Linked DNA regions of Arabidopsis thaliana. The protein of the gene in region 1 binds, or shares a complex with, the protein of each later gene. Each region holds a gene or a part of one and is shown on either strand. Other genes may lie near its edges. The genes, in order: AT5G02850, AT2G22370, AT5G20170 and AT3G10820.

Evidence for each region.
Region 2: AT5G02850 (region 1) and AT2G22370 share a complex: the UniProt entries of both Arabidopsis thaliana proteins name them as parts of the mediator complex.
Region 3: AT5G02850 (region 1) and AT5G20170 share a complex: the UniProt entries of both Arabidopsis thaliana proteins name them as parts of the mediator complex.
Region 4: AT5G02850 (region 1) and AT3G10820 share a complex: the UniProt entries of both Arabidopsis thaliana proteins name them as parts of the mediator complex.

What each region holds. Positions count from the first base shown.
Region 1 is NC_003076.8:649,574-654,391, reverse strand, and holds AT5G02850 (hydroxyproline-rich glycoprotein family protein), read right to left. Parts: upstream 2,345-4,818; 5' UTR 2,234-2,344; coding exon 953-2,233; 3' UTR 629-952; downstream 1-628. Other genes in the region: AT5G02860 (Pentatricopeptide repeat (PPR) superfamily protein), read right to left, coding at 1-290; LCL1 (LHY/CCA1-like 1), read right to left, coding at 3,180-3,230, 3,472-3,531, 3,849-3,958, 4,037-4,162, 4,272-4,430, 4,514-4,637, 4,731-4,788. UniProt on the Arabidopsis thaliana protein: Component of the Mediator complex, a coactivator involved in the regulated transcription of nearly all RNA polymerase II-dependent genes.
Region 2 is NC_003071.7:9,499,748-9,504,331, forward strand, and holds AT2G22370 (mediator of RNA polymerase II transcription subunit), read right to left. Parts: upstream 2,464-4,584; 5' UTR 2,332-2,463; coding exon 2,290-2,331; intron 2,143-2,289; coding exon 2,043-2,142; intron 1,953-2,042; coding exon 1,895-1,952; intron 1,818-1,894; coding exon 1,461-1,817; intron 1,375-1,460; coding exon 1,272-1,374; 3' UTR 1,037-1,271; downstream 1-1,036. Other genes in the region: AT2G22360 (DNAJ heat shock family protein), read left to right, coding at 1-712. UniProt on the Arabidopsis thaliana protein: Component of the Mediator complex, a coactivator involved in the regulated transcription of nearly all RNA polymerase II-dependent genes.
Region 3 is NC_003076.8:6,806,213-6,812,642, reverse strand, and holds AT5G20170 (RNA polymerase II transcription mediator), read left to right. Parts: upstream 1-1,723; 5' UTR 1,724-1,913; coding exon 1,914-2,002; intron 2,003-2,090; coding exon 2,091-2,295; intron 2,296-2,455; coding exon 2,456-2,569; intron 2,570-2,773; coding exon 2,774-2,859; intron 2,860-3,350; coding exon 3,351-3,738; intron 3,739-3,820; coding exon 3,821-4,267; intron 4,268-4,376; coding exon 4,377-4,691; intron 4,692-4,771; coding exon 4,772-5,089; 3' UTR 5,090-5,268; downstream 5,269-6,430. Other genes in the region: AT5G20180 (Ribosomal protein L36), read right to left, coding at 733-889, 1,177-1,331; AT5G20165 (kish-A-like protein), read left to right, coding at 5,913-5,915, 6,005-6,111, 6,209-6,277, 6,392-6,426. UniProt on the Arabidopsis thaliana protein: Component of the Mediator complex, a coactivator involved in the regulated transcription of nearly all RNA polymerase II-dependent genes.
Region 4 is NC_003074.8:3,385,428-3,392,165, reverse strand, and holds AT3G10820 (Transcription elongation factor (TFIIS) family protein), read right to left. Parts: upstream 4,967-6,738; 5' UTR 4,809-4,966; coding exon 4,440-4,808; intron 4,329-4,439; coding exon 4,260-4,328; intron 4,147-4,259; coding exon 4,064-4,146; intron 3,767-4,063; coding exon 3,714-3,766; intron 3,636-3,713; coding exon 3,514-3,635; intron 3,402-3,513; coding exon 3,374-3,401; intron 3,290-3,373; coding exon 3,006-3,289; intron 2,922-3,005; coding exon 2,840-2,921; intron 2,756-2,839; coding exon 2,662-2,755; coding exon of another isoform or gene 2,661-2,661; exon of another isoform or gene 2,538-2,660; coding exon 2,504-2,537; exon of another isoform or gene 2,258-2,503; coding exon 2,190-2,257; intron 2,014-2,189; exon of another isoform or gene 1,930-2,013; coding exon 1,473-1,929; 3' UTR 1,163-1,472; downstream 1-1,162. Other genes in the region: AT3G10840 (alpha/beta-Hydrolases superfamily protein), read left to right, coding at 1-187, 295-393, 490-613, 730-959; AT3G10815 (RING/U-box superfamily protein), read left to right, coding at 6,558-6,738. UniProt on the Arabidopsis thaliana protein: Component of the Mediator complex, a coactivator involved in the regulated transcription of nearly all RNA polymerase II-dependent genes.

The DNA.
Region 1 (4,818 bases):
GGAGAAAGACCATGGTAAGACCAAGGTTTACCGAGGTTAGGGTCACGTGACTTGCCAATTCGAGTCCGGTTACGGTTTCTAGATGTTTGAGAGCTGATGGGTTGTCTGGAATTAGGGTTCTGGTGAAGGAAAACATCGTGGAGGAGAGGCTCTACAGGCGGAGGAGGTGGTGACGAAAGAGACGTAGTAAGAAAAGGCGTCCGAGAGATATGGTGGTTTTGGTCGTGAGAATAAGGTTTAGAGGAAGGAGTGCAGGGAAGGAGAAGAGGAAGAGCTAGCTTGTCCGCCATTAGAGGTAGTAGTAGTAGTAGAAACTAGAAAAGAACCAGGAGGCAACCGAGAGTGAAAGAAGAAGAGAAATGAATGGATATTTTTGTCAGATTTTTTTTATTATATTTTTTTGTTCCAAGAACACAATTTTAGTTTTATTTCCCTACAATTATATTCGACCACGTGGCTAGTCCAGATTCAACAGGTTAGATCTAAATGGGCTACTACTTATTTTGTCAACCCATTATATTATTAGAAGCCCAAATGGAACAATAAACTGTACAATAAAGAAATGGGCAGAAAGAGCCTCTGATATGTATGTATGACCTAAGAGGGATTTTACTTTGTCGTATAGAGAGATCGATCCAAAATGTCAAGTTGCATAACTCCAATAGTTGAACATTCTGAATTTTACTAATAATTTGAAATTTGAAGCTAAAGAATGATTCTGGAAAAAAGATAACCAATAATTCTGTAAACTGAATTAGAATCCAGGGTTTTCGTAAGAAACAACTTTGATACATCAAAGATACTGATAACGATGAAGCATATACTAACATCTATCCACATAAAGGCACTGCTAAACAAAACGAAACCAAGTAGAAAATCAAACTTGATCAAGAATTAGCAGTAACATTGGTCAAATCATTACCTTACAGAGAACCATCAATCACAATGTTGATTAATCCTCATCATCTGAGCTTGCATCATCGCTGCTGTAATCACTGCTATCATCATCCTCCAAAATGTCAAGTTGAACAGCTCGGACCTGTATGACATCAGGCGGTCTGTGGAGTCCCTGAGAAGGTCTCATATGTTGATGATCCTCTGCTCTAGGTGCAGCAATTGACTCCAGTGGCGGTAACACAACTGGGTCGCCTGGTTTCCATCCAGGAGGTGGCAATGGTAAATCTCTAGGCAATTCGACTGGCATTCCTGGTTTCCATCCTGAAGGAACTGCGATATTCGGCGGAAGCAGGTTGTGAATAGCAGATATATCCATAGCTTCTGGTGGTGGTGGTGGCTCAATCAGTGCTTCAACCTTCTTCTCCATGTTTTCTACTGTTTTCGGCAGACCGATATCAAGATCAGCGAAAGTGTAGAGCTGGGAAGCTCTCATTTGTTCGTCTTGTGGAGCTGGTGGTAATGCACCACGGAGAGGTGCTTGCCCTGCACCGAATTCCGGCGGAGCAAATGTGGTGTAGCTAATCTTGTGAGCGTAAGCTAATATGTCCTTTAACTTGAGCTGAGACGAAACTGTGGTTGAAGAAGAAGAAGACTCATTATCATTGTCTTCGTCATCTTCTTCAATTTTGCTTCGTTTTGGTTTGCGGTAATCGGAGTAGTCGTCAACAAGCATATCGAGAACACGTTCTGCATCCTTGAGTTTGTTAGCGAAAGCGAGAAGAGATGAATCTTTGGATTTGATCTCACGCGCCACCTTCTGCTTCGCGTCTTGCAGATCGAGGATCTCTTGAAGCTCTGTAACGGCTTCGAAGAGCTGAGTCTGGAGGGAATTGAATTGAGAGAGGATCTCCTTCGTGGATGAAGGACTAGGGTTTTCAAGCGGCGGCGGAGGTGGTAACGAGTGTGAGGAGAGGAACGAAGGGAGAGAGCCACGGAAAGCTGAGAGCCAGATAGCTCGATTGGGAGAGACGTCGAAGAGCTTAGATGTCAAAACCGCCATCTGCTGGAGAAGAGCTTGAGCTCGCGGTAATGGAGGAAGGAGCGATAGCAAGGCGGAGGATGAAACAGCCGCCGAAGCTGAGGCTGAGGAAGCGGCGGCGACGGTGGAGGAAGGAAGTAGATTAGGCTGTTGTTGGATCTGTTGGTGCTGAGATTGGGAAGATGAAGAAGAGGTTGGATGGCCATGACGAGTAGGCGTCGGATTTTGTACGGAAGGAGAGCCAGGACCTGTTAACCCTAATCTCGCCGGAGATTGTACGATCTGATGCTGTAGCATCTTCGCCGACGGCGAAAGAATCTCTTAAATCGAAGATAATTAAAGAGACGAAGCTTCTCTTCTCTGTTTAGTGTTCAACTGTTTATACAAAATTCGCAAACCCTCAGTATCAATTAGAAAAGTCTAAAGACCCGCTAAAACCATACCGATACGGTTCAATTTCCTAATTACCATTAACCTGGCTTTCGAACAATTGTTATTGACAATAACAGAGACGAATCATGGACGTTAACGCTTGATACAAGTGCAATACAACAGAGTTATGTATCTCACTTCCGAGTTAAGTAACAATTTGCTACTGTGTTACATAGCTTTTGGTTAAACAGATAACCAGAAAATAACCAATCAGAGAACGAGGTAAAGAAACTTACATATTACAAAAGGCATGAAAAAATAATTATCAAAAAGAAGATACAATTGGTAACCATTTTCTACACACACATACATATATCTACCATTCACACGACTGGTTCTGACCGAAACTGCATATGTTCCTCTTGTTTGTGACGACGACTCAGTTATGTTCTCCTCAGACAACAACCGTAGAATGCATCTGACACAATCCACCATATACAGAGATCAATAGCAATTTGGTAGACCGTAAGAGCAATATTCTTAAGACCTTAAGGGTAGTGTAATCAGAATAATAGCAGCAACGCTGAGAATATAACAGTTATGATCTACAGATCATTCTTATTATGACGTTCGATCATGTGAGACAATAACTACAGTAACAAATGAGAAACATTAAGGTGAAAACCTTAGTGAACTGTGGTGTTAGGTTTCGATATAATCTATTAAGTCAATGCGAACGTTCTTATTATAGTGTTTTATATTGGTGTCGGAGGGATGCGGTATAACACCAAACTTACTTGATAGCTGGTAGAGAGTTGTTGCGAGCAAGAAGTCGTCAAGAAGATATATAACTTGTTGAGTGCACAAACAGCTAAGAGCTTAAGTGTTCATGACCTTCCTCTGCAGCATCAACATATTCAGACTAAATTATGGTTAGATTATATCTCATAGAGCACAACAATCCTCATTTAATCATTGGAACGGTTAAAAACATAACACACTAAAGGCGAACTAGTCTTAATTTCTATAGTTAAACTTCAAGGCAGATAGTAAGTAGGTTTGTTAGCTGTTAGAGACTTTTTCTCACTCATTCTTATCACGAAAAGACAAATGTGCCTCACATACTCAACGAGCACAGAAGTAATGATAAAATTATAACTTACAGTAGGTTCAAAGTCAGGGTTTGACAAGTTCACTGTGAGGTTTCTCATCAACAGCAAAACCTGCAAGAAAAACTGTGATTAGTGACGGATACTAGGAAAAAGAACAATCACTGACAGCTACAAATAGGTACCATGACACCTAAAACTGACTCATGGTTGTAACAATCCCATTATTTGACCAACATCTCCATAGAATCATGGTACTTTGGCTTTTTGGTGTTTCCAACTCGTGAATCTATATATTGCAAGTACTGATCTTTATATTTATCTTCTCACACAGCTGAATTTATTCGGGAACTCAAAGAAGAAGACTAAATGATTGATATGCTGCAACACACATATCAGTTAATCTAAAGGCAAGTAAAGCTCCAACTCACAGTTTCGAAATTTATAGGATCCATTTCCTTGAGCTTTTTCATGCGGCCTTTGCTGTCAGGATCGAACACACTCCCAATGAAGTTATAAACCTCAGCAAAATCAGGAAGACCTGCAAAGCAACCATTACAACAGCGTCCACCACAAAATGAAAACTAAGAAATAGTCCCTCAATTGTTCAGATAATTACCATGCATTGAGGGAGCTTGTTTCGCCAGTCTCAAACCCTTAGAATCTGATAGTGTTCTGCTTGAGCTTCCGATACCAGATGCTGAAGGACTAGTTTCACTTATCATGTCATTTGATCCAACATCAACTGAAACAATGATATGTAAGCCGCATTTAGCATATGAAAACTTCAGAAGATAGAGTGACTAGACTACCAAAGCAAAATATAAAAACTGAGTACAGATGAGAACGCATGCCTTCTGCTCCACAAAGAGTATCAAGTTCATCTTCTGGTGGAATAACCCCACTTACAGCAATGTTTAACAATGCAGATGTATCATCATCCCATGGAGTATATCCAGGCAGGTTATTTATTTGAGTAGGAAAGGACATGGAAACGTGAAGCGACATTTGAGCTGCAGATTTGAGTTGAAATCAGATTGATTACATGTTACTCCATCTGTCAACCCAAAGTAATATCTATTACAATAGAACTAACCATTTTTCGATGCCTTTTGAGGATATGGATGAGCAGCTTTGCGCTTAGGCCTAGGGGGTGGAACATGTGCTAAAGTCCCATTTTTTTGGACCTTTAGAAAGTATTTTTGGGCATGGCTCCTGATCTGCAGTAAATCAAACAGGCACAGGATGATTGAGTGGGGAAATGTGCCAAGGTTGTATATTAAACCAAAAATCCAAAGAAGCTGATCTCAAACCTGAATAACTGTCTTTGAACCAACAAAATCTTCTATCTTTTTCCAGTCACGATCAAACCTAAGGACACGAGAAAATTGTCAGGACAAA
Region 2 (4,584 bases), on another chromosome or scaffold:
AGAAGCGGTTTTCGGAATGGAGAAAGAAATAGAGATATCCCGGCTCGAGAGCTGTGGGACATGTGAAGGTTCAGGTGCAAAACCTGGAACCAAACCGACCAAATGCACCACGTGTGGCGGACAAGGCCAAGTGGTTTCAGCAGCTAGAACTCCTCTGGGCGTGTTCCAACAAGTCATGACTTGCTCGTCCTGTAATGGCACTGGAGAGATCTCGACGCCGTGTGGTACTTGCTCTGGAGACGGACGCGTGAGGAAGACAAAACGGATAAGTCTCAAAGTACCAGCCGGGGTTGATTCAGGTAGCCGGTTGAGAGTGAGAGGAGAAGGCAATGCCGGGAAGAGAGGCGGATCACCAGGCGATCTGTTTGTTGTTATAGAAGTTATCCCAGACCCGATTTTGAAACGAGACGATACAAATATTCTCTACACTTGCAAGATATCGTATATCGATGCGATTTTAGGGACGACACTGAAAGTACCAACAGTGGATGGGACAGTAGATTTGAAAGTTCCAGCTGGGACACAACCTAGCACGACGCTTGTGATGGCGAAAAAAGGAGTTCCGGTATTGAACAAGAGTAATATGAGAGGAGATCAGTTGGTGAGAGTACAAGTGGAGATACCTAAGAGATTGAGCAAAGAGGAGAAAAAACTTATTGAAGAGCTTGCTGATATGAGCAAGAACAAGACTGCTAATAGCACCAGTAGATGATTAGAAACACGAAAATTTTGACATTGAAATTATGAATCTCTCTATACATATACATTTTTCTACTCTGGCTTGTGATATTTAGAATGGCTCTTGAAAAAAGAAGAAGCAAGTGGAGGAAGATGATTATTGTTGTGGAAATGGAAGAATTTTAGAATTCATTTTTTTGTGGTTCAAATTTTTAATATGTTAGGTTTTAATAGGCTTTCAAATTGGAATTTATTAGTGATTGAATGATAAATAAAATAGTATGTAATTCCACAAAGACATTCACATTATTTTAATCATGTTCGAAGCTTCATAAACTATCAATCTACTGACAAGTGACAACAATGAAACATCATAATACCAAAAGGTTGAGAGAAGAGCAAAGATCATATGCAAGTTGTGATTTATAAAGAATATTTATTAAAGATCCCTTACTGATTCTCATTAAATAATACTTAACTCTAATGGTTCACAAGATTTCACAACCATTGTGTAATCTGGAAAATTGACTAGATTGGACCAAAAGATCTAACAAGAGAGAACACAAGAACAGTTGTTTTTAACTTCAAACTTCTTACAATGTAGTACCTCCTCCATCCGACATAAGAGATGCAGCCGCCGCAGCAGCGGTTGGCACAACCCCCGTGGAGATAGACGGTTTCGACAAGTGAACAAGCCTGAAAACACAAGGAATCATATCACTGATGAAGCTTATATCAAAGACACTATCACAGGTGCTGTAAAATATATCAGATGAACTTACGGAGCAAGAAATTCACAGAAAGATGAAACAGCAGCAGCGACTTCACTGTAATTCTCAGAAGTTGCAGGAGCAGTTACATCAACAATCTGCATACCAGGTGTTACAGGAACAGCCTCATCTATAGCATGAACTTTAGGCATCTTATTAACAGAAGATACAGAAACACTTATGTGCGCAGTCCGTTGGAAATGAAAGGCGAATCCGACTTTGAGAAGCTCATGGTCTAGTTTGTAACCGAGTGCATAGAACATACGCAAAGCATTCTTGCTTACTTTACTTTCAATCATATTTCTAACCAAAACAGAGATTTGATCAGCTCCTGCACCTCTCATCGCACCACCAACATGTTTAACCGTCCTATGGTTCTTAAATTAGCTTCCTTTGAATGAAACAAGAACATATACAACAACAACAACAACAAGAAGAAGCTGTACCATGTGGGTTCGGGTTGATCAAGATCACATAATAGCCTAACTTCTGATGACACAACTCCTGAAAAAGTGAAGATTTCACAAATGTGAATCATGTATGATTCATAGGAAGCTTCAAGTTTCTGAATTTAACAAAAGGAATTGGCTTTACCAAGATTTGGGCCGCTTCTTAAGCATAACTCATGAACTCTTAAACGTTCGCGTTGAACACCACAAAGACCTTGAAGAAGAATCTCAAGAGCTTCAACATGCTGCAAAATCCAGTAGAAAATCTAATCAAATTCTAATAAAAATTCAAGCCTAGGGTTTATCAATTGGACATCATAAGAAAGCTAAAAGCTGATCCATGAACTCGAAAAACTTGGGATTTGTTCGTCAATCAAAAAATACAAACGAACCTGTGTCTCGATGATTCCTTGAACCACACACTCCATTGACATTGAGCTATCACAAAATCTCTCAATTAAAATCGTAAATATATTCTCAACAAGACCAAATCCGAAATTGGAAAAACTAACGAAAGCTTCCTAAATCGTCCTCGGGAGCGAATCTGAGATTTTTTAACACCGGAGAATTTTAGCTAGTTACTAGAATCACTTGTGTAGTTGTTATATAGTAGTTAGCTGTAGATAAAGCAAGATGGCCTATTAGCTCAGTTGGTTAGAGCGTCGTGCTAATAACGCGAAGGTCACAGGTTCGATCCCTGTATAGGCCATTTCGTTTTTTCTTGTTGCCCCTTTTTTGGGAACTCGATCATAATAAAAACTCTAGTGCATCTCGGTCATTGATTAGTGATCACCAAATAGCCCATTAGCTTAGTTGGCCGCATGATGAGAACATAACCACCGGTTAACCGGAGTAAACCGTCATTAGTTAGGTTGAAGATAGAATTTAGTTTGTGCTATCTTTGCTAAAAAGTTCATGAACCCTAACCTAATTAGTTGGCATTTTAAGAAGTCAACTAGTTTCGATAAAGTTTATGAACATAGCAAATGATATTTATATATGGTTATTTCATCTTGGTTGTGATTACTGTAAATGTCTACTAAGTAGAATGTGTTAATTCCTTATAATTGTTGACAAGAAATATGTAGAAAATTTTGTCAAAATTATTGCGATGTTGTGTAGATTAAGTGGCCACTACATCACCACAATCCTTTAAATTATTAGATAAAAAGTTCAAAAATAAGTCAAATAACCATGTTTACGAAAAGTTTGGAGGAGAATAGGAAAAATGTAAATATATTTATTTTAGCCTCAAACAATTCTTCTCTATTTCAATAGACGAATGAATCCTCAATTTTGCATTAACTAAACCATTTTAGTTTCTTCATTCGTCAATAATATCCTCAAGTGTGTAATCATGTTAATGCTCGTCTAATATACCGGTAACTCAAACCGGCCTCATTTTAACCTACCTCACCAAATTTGTAGAGGTAGCATAATACACGGGCCAAGTTGAATATCCAAGTTGATATTTATGCTTATAATGCATCATTTATGAATTGCCAATTGTCAAATGCCAAGCATGCTTTTGTGGGAAGGCTTATGAATTGTTTACAATGATACAAGATGCAAATGTAAAACCAAATATCATCAGGATATATTAATACAAGAGTCTATGGACTTGTTTCAGAGGATGAAAAATATAAAAACAAAAAGGTGTTCAACAAAAATAGGTCAAGCTTTGGGTTGTATCCAAGTTTATGTATTAGTGATCCGAGCAAGAGAACCTATCAATGCGATACACGTGTAGCAATCATTAATCAAATCCACGTATGACGACTTTGACTACCATACACTCTAGTACTCTCTACCGTAGAGGATTACATTTTAACCCTACGATTAGTTTAATCTCTCAGTCCACCGGAGAGTGTAAAAACAGCGAGAAAATCGACGTCGTTCGATCGCCGACTGCGAGCGAAGAAGAAGATGGCTGAAGAAGAGGTTGACTACGTATTCAAGGTTGTTTTGAACGGAGATTCAGCGGTTGGGAAGTCACAGCTACGAGCTCGGTTCACAAGAGACGAATTCAGTATGGATTCCAAAGCCACAATTCGGTGTCGATTTCAATACTCGAACGCTCGTTATTGACGATAAGAACATCAAAGCTCAGATCTGGGACATCGCAGGCCAGAAACGGTACTATATCCTTCTCCGATCTTAGTTCTATCTTCTCTGATTTAACAATGGATAAAATATTGCTTCGAACTCGATGATGTTACAGTGTTGCTGTTCAATTTCGATTTTGATCTTCGTGTGTACCTGAGAGTGACCTCATTTTGACTAGAGAGTAATCGACTCTTTTAGAAGTTGGACCATTAGTGTTGGAATTGTTCGATTTTGTTCTTCGGCAACATTGTAATGTGTTGTTATAGCATTCTCCTGAAGAATCAAATTATGTAGTGATGATCACATTCACATCCAAGTGGCTAATCATTGTGCATGGCATGTTTTCTCCATTGTACATAGCAATGTGGTTGGTTTGATTAGTGACATTCTTGTTCTTTTGCTGTGAGTAGACACAGAGCTATTACATAAGCCTACTACAAAGGTGCTGTTGGTGCAATGTTAGTTTACGATATGACAATACGTGAAAGCTTTGAGCACATTCCTCAGTGGTTGGAAGAACTACGAGTGCACGCGGATAAGAACATTGTCATCATCTTGATTGGTAACAAGACGGATTTAGA
Region 3 (6,430 bases), 6.2 Mb from region 1:
TTGGTTAAAATTGCAGCTCAAAAATGGAAATTACGAAAGAGTATGACAATTATTGGTGAGGTGATTTTTTTGGAATGAAGCTGTTAACGATTTGACTGAGGGAAAACTACAACAAAAAGTAATAAAGAAGGCTTGTTATGTCCAAAAGTAGTACTGTCCAGAAGCGGGGCCCATGGGATATGCCTATCAGAGTGGGCTTCCTGTGACCTCTCACACCACCACGTAGGACCTACGAGCCGAGTGCTCAACGGTGGAGAAAGAGAAGGGTCGTTGTCGTTGAGAAGTCTCCGTCTCTCCAGTTTCATTGTATTTGATTCGCATTTAGTGGGTGTGCTTTGTGCAGCCTCATTTTGGAATAGTGAAATTTGACTATAAACATGCGCAAATGAGCCACAACATATTTCAAACTACTTGGTACGCGGTCAATACAAATTCAACCACAATTTGCTCATTTCCTTGGCATGTAATCGATGTGGATATCACTAACCAGAGTTTTCTAAAAGAAAAACATATTGATCCCTAACATATGCTCCAGTGGAAAATGTAAAAACAAATACTCGAGTGTCATAATATATCTCTTTGTTCAGGTCATGCGAGGCACAATCAAACAGGTCTCGAAGGAGCATACGACTGACCAAAGTAAAAGTGGAGAGATATACAATAATGTTTCATAGGAATTGGAAGAAAACTGCGATTACAAATCTGAAGAATAAAAAGGGAAATGCTGACATCCTAATTTCCTTGTTTGAAGAGAATGGATGCAAGACCAGACCTCCATCCGAAATACGCTGTTGGCATAGGCCTTTTGTGTAAAAGTGATGCCAGTCCGGCTGATACCCCCTGACCAGGCAGCCTCACCAACTCCTGACTAGCAATCGGCTCAGCAAACCTGTTTTACAATCCCAAATAACTTTTTAAGTAAGTTACTCTCAACTCTGCGAAGGAAAACAAGTGCACATGCTTCATGCTTCTGTGTGATGTTCCACTATAATGTATTTTAGTAACTGTTCAACAGACTCTAAATAGATCCTCACTTTTCATTCAATGATTCTATAGGACAAAATTTGGGTAGTAAGTGATTCACAGTAGTCAATATACACTGTATTTAACCCGTCCAAAATCCGAATGAGACACCTAATTACTCAAAAGCGAAAACCAGATACAAGATTCACTTACAAAGGGGAAGGTGTAATTCCTTCATAAGCAAAGGAACTGAACCCTTGTCTTTGCTTGTGCTTAGGATTGGAAGAGCATATAACATACACACGTCCACGACGTTTCACTGTTTTACAAAACTCACACATCTTCTTCACAGATGATCTCACCTTCATTGCTTCTCACTCTGCAATTCACAACCGATCATTAACACAAAACTCATTAGATGAAAATGAAAGAGAACTCTTCAAAGTATTCAACTTTAAGATTCAAAACTAAGGATTGTATCCTCTAAACATATCATTTCTACTTAATCTACCAGAAAAACTGCAATCCTTAGTTGATCCGATGATGGAAGCAAAAGTAAAACGAATCTGAAGCATCCATCTCTAACTACACGGAATCACACAAGAGAAAACCCTATAATAGATCCAGATACGAAATCGAGTGATAATCAACGAGAACCCATCAAGCGAAGAACAAAAAAATACCTGCGAATTCAAAGGCGACTACGAAGAAGAGCAATCGATTCCCAAATGCAAATGAAAGGGTTTTACGGAGGAGTTTTGCACAGTCAGAGTACAACATATTTTGGGCTTTTAATGGGCTTTACCCGTAAAAATGATCCGGAATTTTTTTGACCCGGATTATTAGATCTAAATATCCGATTTGGAGCGTTGAAGCGATTTGGCCGGACTGTGTTACCGTCGACCTAGAAAATCTGAATTTTTGACCGGGAAGATTTTTTTCTGTACGATATGGATAGCGACATGGAAATCTCTCTCGACAGGCTTCCCATTAAACGATTGGAATCTATCGAAGAAAATGGCGCCGAGCGTTTTCCTTCGTAAGTGTTGTCTGGTGTTTGAGAAACGAGACAAAATCTTCCCAGATTGTTTTGCTTCTAAATTATTCCTTTTGTTTTTGACGTGTAGTGATGTTGATTACGATGATAAGAGAGTATCGCTGATTCGGAGAATAGACTTCGCGTGGGCGTTGGAAGAGGAAGATGAGCTGAAGAAGAAGAAGCAGAAGAAAAGCTCCAAGGATAGCGTGGAGCAATGGAAATGGAAGGGAATGGTTGAGAATTTGCAATTGGCTCATCAGGAGCTCACTGTCATCATTGACCTTATCGACACAGTGAGTGACTCTTGTTGATAATAGATAAGAATTTTGGGATATTCATAGCTCTTACAGTGTCTGTTTTATTGGTTTGAATGGAAGGAGCTGAAGTTTGGTTTCTGATATTTGAATAGAGAGTAAAACTTAAACAATTTATCTTCTGATTTTATCTTTGAAGGTCCAAGCAAATGATGCAGTAACAGTTGCTGGGATGACCAGACCTAAGCCGATGCCGAATGAGATTCTCTCGGATCTTGCTGTGTCTACTGCTACCAAGCTGCAGGGCTACCGGGTAATCAGTAGCTTACTTTCTTATGTGCAATTTAACTTTGCTTAAAGATGGAAGGATTCTTGTAATTGTTATTAGTTAGGCACTTTTTAGTATCCTGAGAAACTGTTGGAAACATTAACTTGGTTTCGTAAAGAGCTTTTTAACTATATAATTGTCTTTGGATGGTATGCTTATCTCACTTCTGAATATCTGTTTCCTCTGCAGAATTTAGGAAACTACTTTAAACAATCAGCAAAAGCTTTAGAGCAGAAAATCAATCGTGAAGCAAGGTTTTATGGTGCTCTTATCAGGTTCGAGTACTTGCTTTTCATTTAATGTCAGTGGCTATTTTCCTTAGTACTATTTTGCAACTTTTAAGAATTTGTTGTTTGCATTCTTGATACTAGTTTTAGGTAGCTTACAATGTCATAGCTATTTGTGTTGTGCACAGATAATTAGCGTCCGAATTTTGGATGTAGAGTTATTACGCACGTAGGTTTTGTAATATGTTATGACTTATGACTGATAAACGTGAAAGCATTTTATTATTCTTGTCTAATGTGAAAAAGTTCTAAATTTTGACTTCTACACCGTCTCTGTTACTGAACCTGCATAGTACAGTACTTCAGGAACATCCATTTTGTTGTGTAGTGACTGCTTAAGATTATGCCAACACAAATTAGAGAATTTCCGTTGAAATTGCTCATAATTTGTATAAAATGATAAGCTGACTTCAGCTTCCAAAATAGAGATTGATTTATACGTGCAAATGGTTATTTTTGCTATACTAACAAGCTTATAGGTTGCAGCGGAACTGGAAAGTCAAGCGACAACGCATGCTTGCTTCAAATGCCAGCAATGAGGGCTTCACCATTGATCTTTCTGACAGTTCATTATATGATCCGACTTCTGGTTTTCGCCCATCTACACTGTCCACTATTCGTGTAGATCATGATTCAGCTGGTATGCTGGCCATTAATGTACCCCAAGATTCATGGTACTCTCTTCGGTTTGGGTATGTTGGCTTAAATCCGATTGGCAACTCAAACGAATCTGATGAGCACATAGACTCGACTACTGGTCACGATATCCCTGGAACATCAGAGAAGTTGTCTGCAAGTGACGACAAATATGTTAAAGAAACTCATTCGCTACTGAGGGAGGTGCATAAATCAATTTTTGCTGAGCAGGTGGTATTTTTGTCATATATCTTGTAGTACGCTTGGTATATCTCTTCACGACTATTTCTCACTTCTTTGGTCTTCTTACCAGTTGTTTGACATGCTAAATCGTGAAGCATTCAATGAAGGTGTGGGATTCAACATAAGTGGACTACGAGAAAATTTTATGGAAATGAGCATCGGCCAAGGAGCTTCTCTGTTTGTGTCTCTCCACCCATCAGGCAAAAATCCCAGCATCAAGAAGTCGGAATCTGCAACCTTGCTCATTGAATCATCTGGCAGAGTAGAACCAGCAGAAGGAGGAGACTATCGCTTGAAGAAGCTAGGGTTCCCTAATCGCACCAGCTATGAAATATACTTGCAACAAATTTTTCACGAGCATGCCTTTGGAAAAGCTAAAGATCAGCTCAAGTCAAAAAGTATCAGAGCATCCAATCAAACAGAAAAGGACAGCAACTCCGGACTTCTTGACCATTTCTGCTTATCTTTGACTCATAGAATCTTCTCAAATAGAGTTCTTGTGCATCTTGAAAGCGTGGTATTTTCCCTGATGTGCTAAACTTTATTGAATGATCCTTCTCTATCAAGAAACTTGTTGTCATCTTTGATCATGCTTTAAAAAAAATGGTTACTTCCTCATTGAACAGGTCTGCAAGGTCCCGTATCTTCATCTGATATCTCATCCTACATGGAATTCTCGGACATCGTCATGGACTGTCTTCATGACTGTTCCTCCATCAATCATCCCCCAAGGAAGGTCTGAAACCCAGTCTCCTGATGGTAAGAGGAATCTTAAGACGCAGTTCCGGACAAAAGTGGTGGTGAAGGATGATTGTATTAGTGTTGAAGCGGAATGCACGCCCAATGTGGTTGGCTTACTCAAAAGCAGTTCCTGCAATCTATTCTCTATAAACAAATACGAGTGCGACGTGGCCGACCTTCCCGTGATGATTCTCCAACAGGTATGTTCTTTCGTTTCCTAAAGTTGATCATGTCTATAGCAACACGGTCCCTTAAACACGCGGTTTATTTATTTGAGAAGGTGGCGAGCCAGATAGTGTGTTGGCTACTGGAGGAAGCACGGACGGTAGGGACAAAAGCGAGCAGGGAATTTCTGTCACTATCGTTAGAGATAGTGGAAGGGGAGAGAGTGAGCCTGGTGGCGCATGTAAACCCGGAAGACGCAAAAGGATGCATCTCGTGGTGGCTAGTGATGGAGAATGGATGCACAGAGGAGAGGGAAGGAGTGTCGGAGAGTAGGAAGTTGTTGGGTCATTTGTCTCTGGATGTCTTGTACTCTGTTCTCATGGATTTGATCAACTTGTGTGGTACTGGTCGCAATGCTTTAGAGAGATTGTAAATGCTGAAAGACAAGTAGTGAACATGTTTAGTTCTTCAAGATTTGTAGATTACAATGGTTTAGTGAGACTCTAGTGTCTAGCCCAAACATCACTTTTTTGAATAGTTGGAAATGTGGATTTTATGGATTAAGGATTGATGATTATTATAAAACATCTTTATTTCAAATAATATTATCAATTTTTCTTTTTTAAAAAATCTTTGAAATCATAATGACTTTAGTACTTAAAGGAAGAAAGGGGTAGAATTGGAAATATGTAGAGAAAACGAGAATAACTCTGACGCGAACGTTTCTCTCCTCCGTCTCTCGATCCCTCTCTTGACGTCTCGCTGATCTGTTTTGCTAAGATTCAAGCTTCAAAACCCTAATTTCTCTAGCCATTAGCATCGATTTCAGCTCAACTTCAGGTTTGCTGTTCCCTTTTTTTGTATCATCCCATCCACCGATCGATATTTCTCAATTTTCTGATTTGCTGCTCTCTCGAGAGAGAGTCACCGTTATGGAGTTGGATTCACTATATGATCTGATAATTATGAAATTCACAGATGCTTCTATATATAGTAAATCTGATTTATTAGTGACGAATAGATGAACATATTCCCTTGATTATTCTTCTACAAATCTCGGTAGTGATAAATTGTTAGGTTTTGACGATAATTGTACTTGCTCAGTTTTTCATGTGTTTAGTTATGATTCTTCTTGGGCATGTCTGTGTCTTCGAATCGATTCTCATGTGATTCCCATTATTGTTTTTTTTCTTCTGGTTATTTCAGATTCAAGGAAACAATTATTAGCTTCTCAAGTGCTTCAGTGATCCGATACAATGGTAGTTATTGCCTTCTCTGTTCCATTGTTAAATTTTGTTAATTTCAGTGATTTTGAGCTAAGAGTTTTGTTTATCTTTGATAAATTCAGTCAGCTTTGTTCAATTTCCATTCGTTTCTGACGGTGGTGCTGCTTGTGATCTGCACATGCACATATCTGAAGATGCAGTTCCCTGCCATTTTAGAGCAGAAAACTGGGTTTGTACCTTCTTTGTTCTCCTTTTTCGTGAATTTTATTCTCAAAACCGATAACACTAACACATTTGGAGCTTTGACACCGGTTATTGTTTTCAAGCATTGTCTTTTGCCAAATTAAAGATGCTTTGTCAGATTTCTCTGCATATTGTTACTTTAGATTGCAAATGTTACTTCATCCTAGTGCTTTTTTTGTATTTATAGCTTGCATCTAATGCCCTCAGTCATCACTTTGTTCTATGCATATTAATGATAGAAATTGCTTGATTAATTACTATTGCAGGTTTCGAGGATTTTTCTGGAAGGCTGCTAGAATAGGTAG
Region 4 (6,738 bases), on another chromosome or scaffold:
AACTGATGCTGGAGAGAACCGTGACAAAGAAGCTCCCACTAGCAACTTTCTAGGGACTCTAGTTGAGTTAACCAAAGGTGTTATAAGAGCAGTATTGAGAGTGGTAACGGGAATGGCGAATATGCTGAGTTCTCTCTACAAGAAAGCTTTAGCAGCTTTCCTCAGATCCTTCCTTGGAGTAATGCTGGTACCGCTTTTTTTTGTCTTGGCTTCATTCACCAGTCATGTCATTTTTTATATGTTGTTAGACCAGAACACTTGATGTGTTTCTAAGGTGGTTGTTTTTTTCACCAGGTGAGGATGGCAATCAATAAATTTGGAGTAACAGCTGTTAGGAACGCGTGGTATGACTCAAAACAAGTGACGGATCATGTCGTGCAGGGTTATACAAAGGTGAGATTTTCGGGTTTTCTCAGGTTTCTTTATTTCTTCTGCATTGTTATGTTAAAAATTTAGGAAATTTGATTGTATTTGTTGCAAAAAAAACAGCCTCTTAAAGCCAAGGGATGGGACAAAGCTCTCGTGGAATTCACGGTGGCTACACTAACAGATAATAATGGCTCAGAGAAAAAACTCCCATTGTCTAAAAGGCTTCAAGAAATCAAATGCCCTGGTAATATCTCTTTCTATAAGATTCTGACAATGAATTAGAAATTGGAACCAAATATTGTGCATTGTATGTCTGAACTCTGAACCAATGACATCATACTATCTTCATGTTTCTAATAGTTCTGATTGTGACGGGAGATACGGACCGTATTGTGCCAGCATGGAACGCAGAGAGGCTGGCACGAGCCATACCGGGATCAGTGTTCGAAGTAATTAAGAAATGTGGTCATCTTCCTCAAGAGGAAAAACCAGATGAATTCATATCTATTGTTGCAAAGTTTCTAGGGAATGCTTTTGGAGGGTCACAACAACAAGACGTGGACTTGAAGTTCCAAGGCATTGTATCATGAAGTATAACTATATATTTTAGCTCAATCAAGACTAAATTTTAGAGAGATTCTTCATGTTATTGGACCTGAAGAAACAAATGTCGACAATATCAAAGACTAGATAGATATAGAATAAAATAACCGAGAGACATTGATTCTTCAACAGATTGATATATAAGCGAGAATAATACACCATGTGGTGCTTCTTGCGAGTGCGGGCAAGTTTTGCAGAGTCCAGTTGATTAGCTTGGAGCTTGAAGCTGGCTTGAAGCTCCAACTCGTCAAGCCAACGCAAAGTTTCTGGAAGAACAAAGTCGGCAACATTTTGAAACTCAAAGCGAGGGGTGCAAAGGACTGTGCAGTCTTCCTCAGCCAAGAGGGCGACATGCTTCTTGTTCGTCAGAGTAGCAGCAGTCTCATCTTCCAGATTCTTCTCATTCGCCTGAGCCATGTACTGCCTGAACTTTTCGAGATAAGCCAAACTAGGGGCGCATCTCATTGCAATAGTAAACATGTAACCAAGAGCATCCACTTTCAGGCGCTTGCACTTGTCCAGTGAATCACAATCTCATGCGGATACTGTGAATCAGTTTCCTTGCATATAGCAACTTGTTGGCGAGCAAGAGACAAGTGAGTAGGATCAAATCGCTGATAGAGGAGGCCACCGGGATGAGTTCGATTGCGGGGAGGAAACTCTCTAGAAACCTTAGAGAGCATATGCATAAAGGTTTTCCCTACGCACCTAACCGTCTCGACGGAAGTCTTATGGATAAGGTCAAACTTAGGGCAAGCCTTGGCCTCGAACCTGACAAAGAGTGATCTCGTAAGGTCCTTGAGAGAAACAGATACGATGGCATCAACAAAATCCTTTTCAGTTAGAAGGACACTCATCTTCTTGAAAATCATCATCTCATCCACCATCTCTGCTTTATCTATCTGCACAAGTACGAGTCCAAAATATACAGGAATATCAATCATCAACTCATCATGTCTACATATGCAGCTAAATTTCAATTCTATGCAATGCAAACAGAGACCATTGTTTTACCAAACCTATGCTCTCACTTATGTTTATCAATAAAGGCCACAAAATTAGGGCTTTTCGATTTCCAATCAAAGACTTTCGGTTGTATCCCCGACGTACAAAATCTAGGCCAGAATTCTTAACAGCTCAACGTTTAACCCATCAGGTTTATCGATAACTAGCACTAGGAAAACAAAATTTACAACAAGGAAAATTGAAGTAGGTACCTTGAGAATTGGGAGGAACTATCACGAGGATTCGCGAGATTGAGGATGAGGGAAGGTAACTCGTAACCCTAGGAATTTATCACTCTGTTATATTTCACCTCATAAGTGATATTAAAAATTACAAAATCTTTGTATAAACAGATTTAAAAAGTTTGCTTGCCTCGCAAGTTAGGTTTAGGGATGGTCAAATACGAGAAGCCCTTTTGTCCTAATAATTTTCTTTTTTATTTTCATAATGAAACATGAAGAAAGTGAAAAAGGGATTTTCCCTTGTCACAATTATGAGGTTCTATTGTCACAAAACCGGACCAAACCGGGAATTCACTGGACCAGAAGTACCAATAAATACTGGGACAAAAGAATAGAGCATCCTAAGAAGTTTATGTTGGATCTGTCAATGCACTTTTGTTGTATATTAACGCCTCTGAATGGTCGTAGTAATTGTATAGATCATCCGAAGGAAAAAATGGACTATCTTCGTGTGGCGGGTCTCTTGAGTTGCGGTTTCTGAACTTTATTTTGCTTTGGGATAGTTTCCAGTACTTGTATCGTCCTCTGTCTCTTAGCTGTTCAAAAACAAATGGGTCATTAAGAATTAGGTGTATTGTAATAGTGGAAATATTGAAATCTCTTAAGACGATTTGACTAACCATTCTCATGTTGGTGGTAGCTCTCTTGGAGTTTCCGCTTTGCAAACTCAAACTTTGAGTCTGGATCCAGAGCTTTGAGTTTCTGAACAAAGACAAGAACACTTGCTATTAGAAACAAAACAGATTAATAATCAAACACCACGGCTTTATTAACTCAAACACTCACATCTTGTTGAGGTCCAGCAAGTTTCCGCTTTTGCTCAGTAACAGCAGTTGGTTTTCGTTGGATTGCGGATACCATTTGTTCTCTACTTTGCTTTGTTTGTCTTTTAGGCTCGACAACATCTGTGGCTGAGTGCTTCATAGGTCTAACATCAGCTTCTTCTCTCCTCGTCTGTTGATCATTGCAGTACCTCCCAACCACATTTGCATCATTTGTTCCCTTGGGTCTCCTCCCCGCACTACTTTGCGATTTTCTTTCATGTTTGGACTCCACACTGTGACGAGGATCTGAAAACAGTGGCCACCATGAGTGTCAAAATATAGGAAAACTTTCAAGTAGAGAACAGAGTACCAAAGAGTATACTAACTCACTTCCATCGCAGTCCAAACAATCTAAGATCTTCAAGTGACCCAAGACATTATGAAACAAGGACGAGGGAGGAAACTTGTCAGGATAACATTTCGTCTATGCCAGAAATAAAATATGATGAGAGGGAAAAATGTTAATAGACCTGAGAAAGTTCAAACCCATTAGGTTCAGGTGCATAGATATCTAAATCATGTGGAGGAGAAGGAAAGGCTTCTTCTTCATCAATTACTGAAAGGTTTAGAGACTCTGGCGTCCCTTCAGTGCCTGCAAGACCCAATTACTATAAATCTAGACCAAAACCTGCTCGCACTGACTACGGAACAGGAGGAGAGAGCTATTTACCAGCCATTTCCTCTGGGGTGTTCATCCACTGGTCCACCAGCCTCTTCCACTCTCTGTGCATCCCATATATAAAAACACAATCTTTATACTCGGGAGCCAGAAAGTAAGGAAGAGTAAAATGTTCTAAGTATTGAGCTAACACAAGAGCAGCTCCCTAATGATCAACCAAGGCTTTTATAATGACATTTTACAATTTGAGACATCCTACAAGGCAACTGGTTTGCATCTAAATCAAACCGTGGAGGTTCAATTTTTTTGGAACATTTTGCCAAAGTTTAATTCACATCACAGATGCGAGAGTATGAGAACAAATGAAACTAAGCACACAATGAGAATGATGAAACTCATACGCGAAAAGAGTCTTTGCAAGTTTGCTAATCTTATCGGAACTATGTCTCCTCAGACCATTAACAGCCTTTCCAATTTCAGTATCCTGCAAGAACGTAAACACTTAAATCACTCCACAGCCTCGAAAAGCTCCATCAGAATAAGCAACTTCCACTACACCAAATCATACAATATCAAAACAACACCAAAAAAACAAACCTTAAGAATGTCCACACTCATAGACATTGACTCAAGCTTTCTCAGAGATTCGAGTAACACAGAATCTTTCTGCAAAAAAGATGACAGAAACCAAAAACTCAACAATCAACACAAAGATTCCAAATTTAACCAATGAATTAGCACAAGTTTTAATGTAATCCAAGCAAAGAGACTAAAAACCTCATCGTCTTTGTTCGACAAGATATCTCTGATCCTCATAACCTCATCAACACTCACAGACGCCTCTTCACCTTCACCCGTCGCAACACCAGAATCACCCCTATCACCGCCGCCGCCAACTCCAACTATCTCCACCGCCGCTTCGTCTCCAGCTATCGAGAGCTCAAGGTGGTCACAACCAATGCAGCGACTCACTTTACAAGAGAAGAGAAGCTCAGCAATTCTATCACTCCTGGATTTAAACTCCTTTGGCCAATCTGCAGCAGCTACCATAATCGCATGATCAATGATACCAAAAATATCAGAATCTCCTCGCCGGAAATACTCTCTCCAAGTATCCAACGAAACAGATGGTCTCATCTTCGCCATCACGAAACGGCGAGGGAAAATCGATTCCGGAATCCGAATTCCTCGATCTGCAAAACCCTAATTAAATTTGAATTTAGGTTTTTGAATACGAATCAATATAGTACTAGTTGTGTAGTTTTTTTTTTTTTTAAGTTTCTCTGCAGGAAATAAAATTCGCCTGAGAATCTGACAAAAGTTTCTGCAGAAAGTCCACAAGAACTTTCCCGAGAAAACTTAAAGAAACAGAGCTTGAGCCAATTAAAAGAGGGCAAGAGAAGAAGACCCTAGAATTTTAAAAAGCCAGAAATTTATGTCGACATTAAAAAACTTAGGTTATAAAAAAAAATGGTAATAGTTTTGATCATTTATCTTGATAACTCATCTGTTTTATTTAAGTAAAATATTGAATTTGTCAATATATATATTAATTCTAAAGATATAGGCTTATGATTAACTGAATGATTATTTAGTTAATAGTAAATTAGTAATAACTAGACTATACATGTGTCGTCCTATATGACATAATGACCCTTGATGAAAAACACGTCACATGGCCTAGCTAGTATAAAGATGGGATATTCGTTTTTTTAAAGTTATGTTATCAACATTACATTCAGAGCATACTGTAATAGTAAATTATTAACACATTACACATGTCCTGATACCAACAATGGGGTACTCATTTTTCAAAGTTATGGATAATTACATTTATCACGTGAATTACTTGAAAGGTAATCTAAATAAACGCGTTTTTGGTGTCGCAATTATGTCGTTTTAAAAAGCATTGTTCATAGTCCCACAGATGTTTAGCACTATTTTTTAATTAGTACTAGTATTAAATTATTATTTTTGTATTTTTTTCATTAAATTTCTCGTTAGTTTCGTGCTTTGACTCTTTTGTTAAGCTTCAGCCACATGTTCCCGTTGTTGAAGCTGTCTTTTGAAGTTTCGTCGTCGATATCATCCTCGACTCTATTTTCAGTTGCGTTAAAGACTTCTCTTCTTCCAAAAGTTTCCTTTTCTTCTATTTTAAATATTCTTTCAGCACTTGGAGATTCACAAGTTTGTCGGATCAATCCATTTTAACTCCGGTAAGCCATACTTGCATGATTCGTTTTGTTTCCACCGATCACATGTTATCGTTTATGCTCCATAGCTTAATCTTTGACTCATTCATGATCTTTTTTTGGTTTAATGTTAAAACCCATGCATGATCTTGTTTCTGCATATTTTTGTTTTGGTTCAGTGTAAAAATTTCTGCATAATTTTGGTTCTACAAAAATAGCTACTATGCAAAAGCAAGATCACGGGGTCAAAGATTAAGCTATGGAGCTTAAACACTACTTGTATTTGACTATTTGTTTCTACGTCATTTGCGTTTGATTTGAATCTAAAGGCCTTTTAATCGATTTCTTGTCATGTGTTTGTAAGGGTTCAGTGTTTTATGTATCTTTCAAATTGTGCTTCTAGTGTATCCATTTTGGATTTGTGAAAGTTGTTTAGGGCTTATATATCTAAAATTGTAAAACCTATTTTAAATTAATATAACAAAACAGTTTCGGACTTTTAACTCATAATATCTCTTCGAATTTAGTTCATTTTCCAACTTTGAAATTCGTTGGCTTGTGATCTTGAAGCCTTGTTCCGTCCGGAATTTATGTTACTTAGTCACCAGTAGAGTTACAAACGATGAGTTATTTTAATCTTTTTTCTAAAAGGTCCTTGACAATGGTTTGACGAGAAAAAATCGTTTTTCCTTTTTGCAGATCCATGACTACGACTAGGCGGAAAAATACACATTGGTGTCATACTTGTAGACGAGGAATCCATCTTCAAGGAGAAGGCAGAAGAGAAGGAGCTTGCATTTACTGTGGTAACACCTTTCTTGAAAGGCTATATGAGAATGTTGAACTAAGCCCTTTTGATTTATTCGGATTAGCCTACGAAGAAG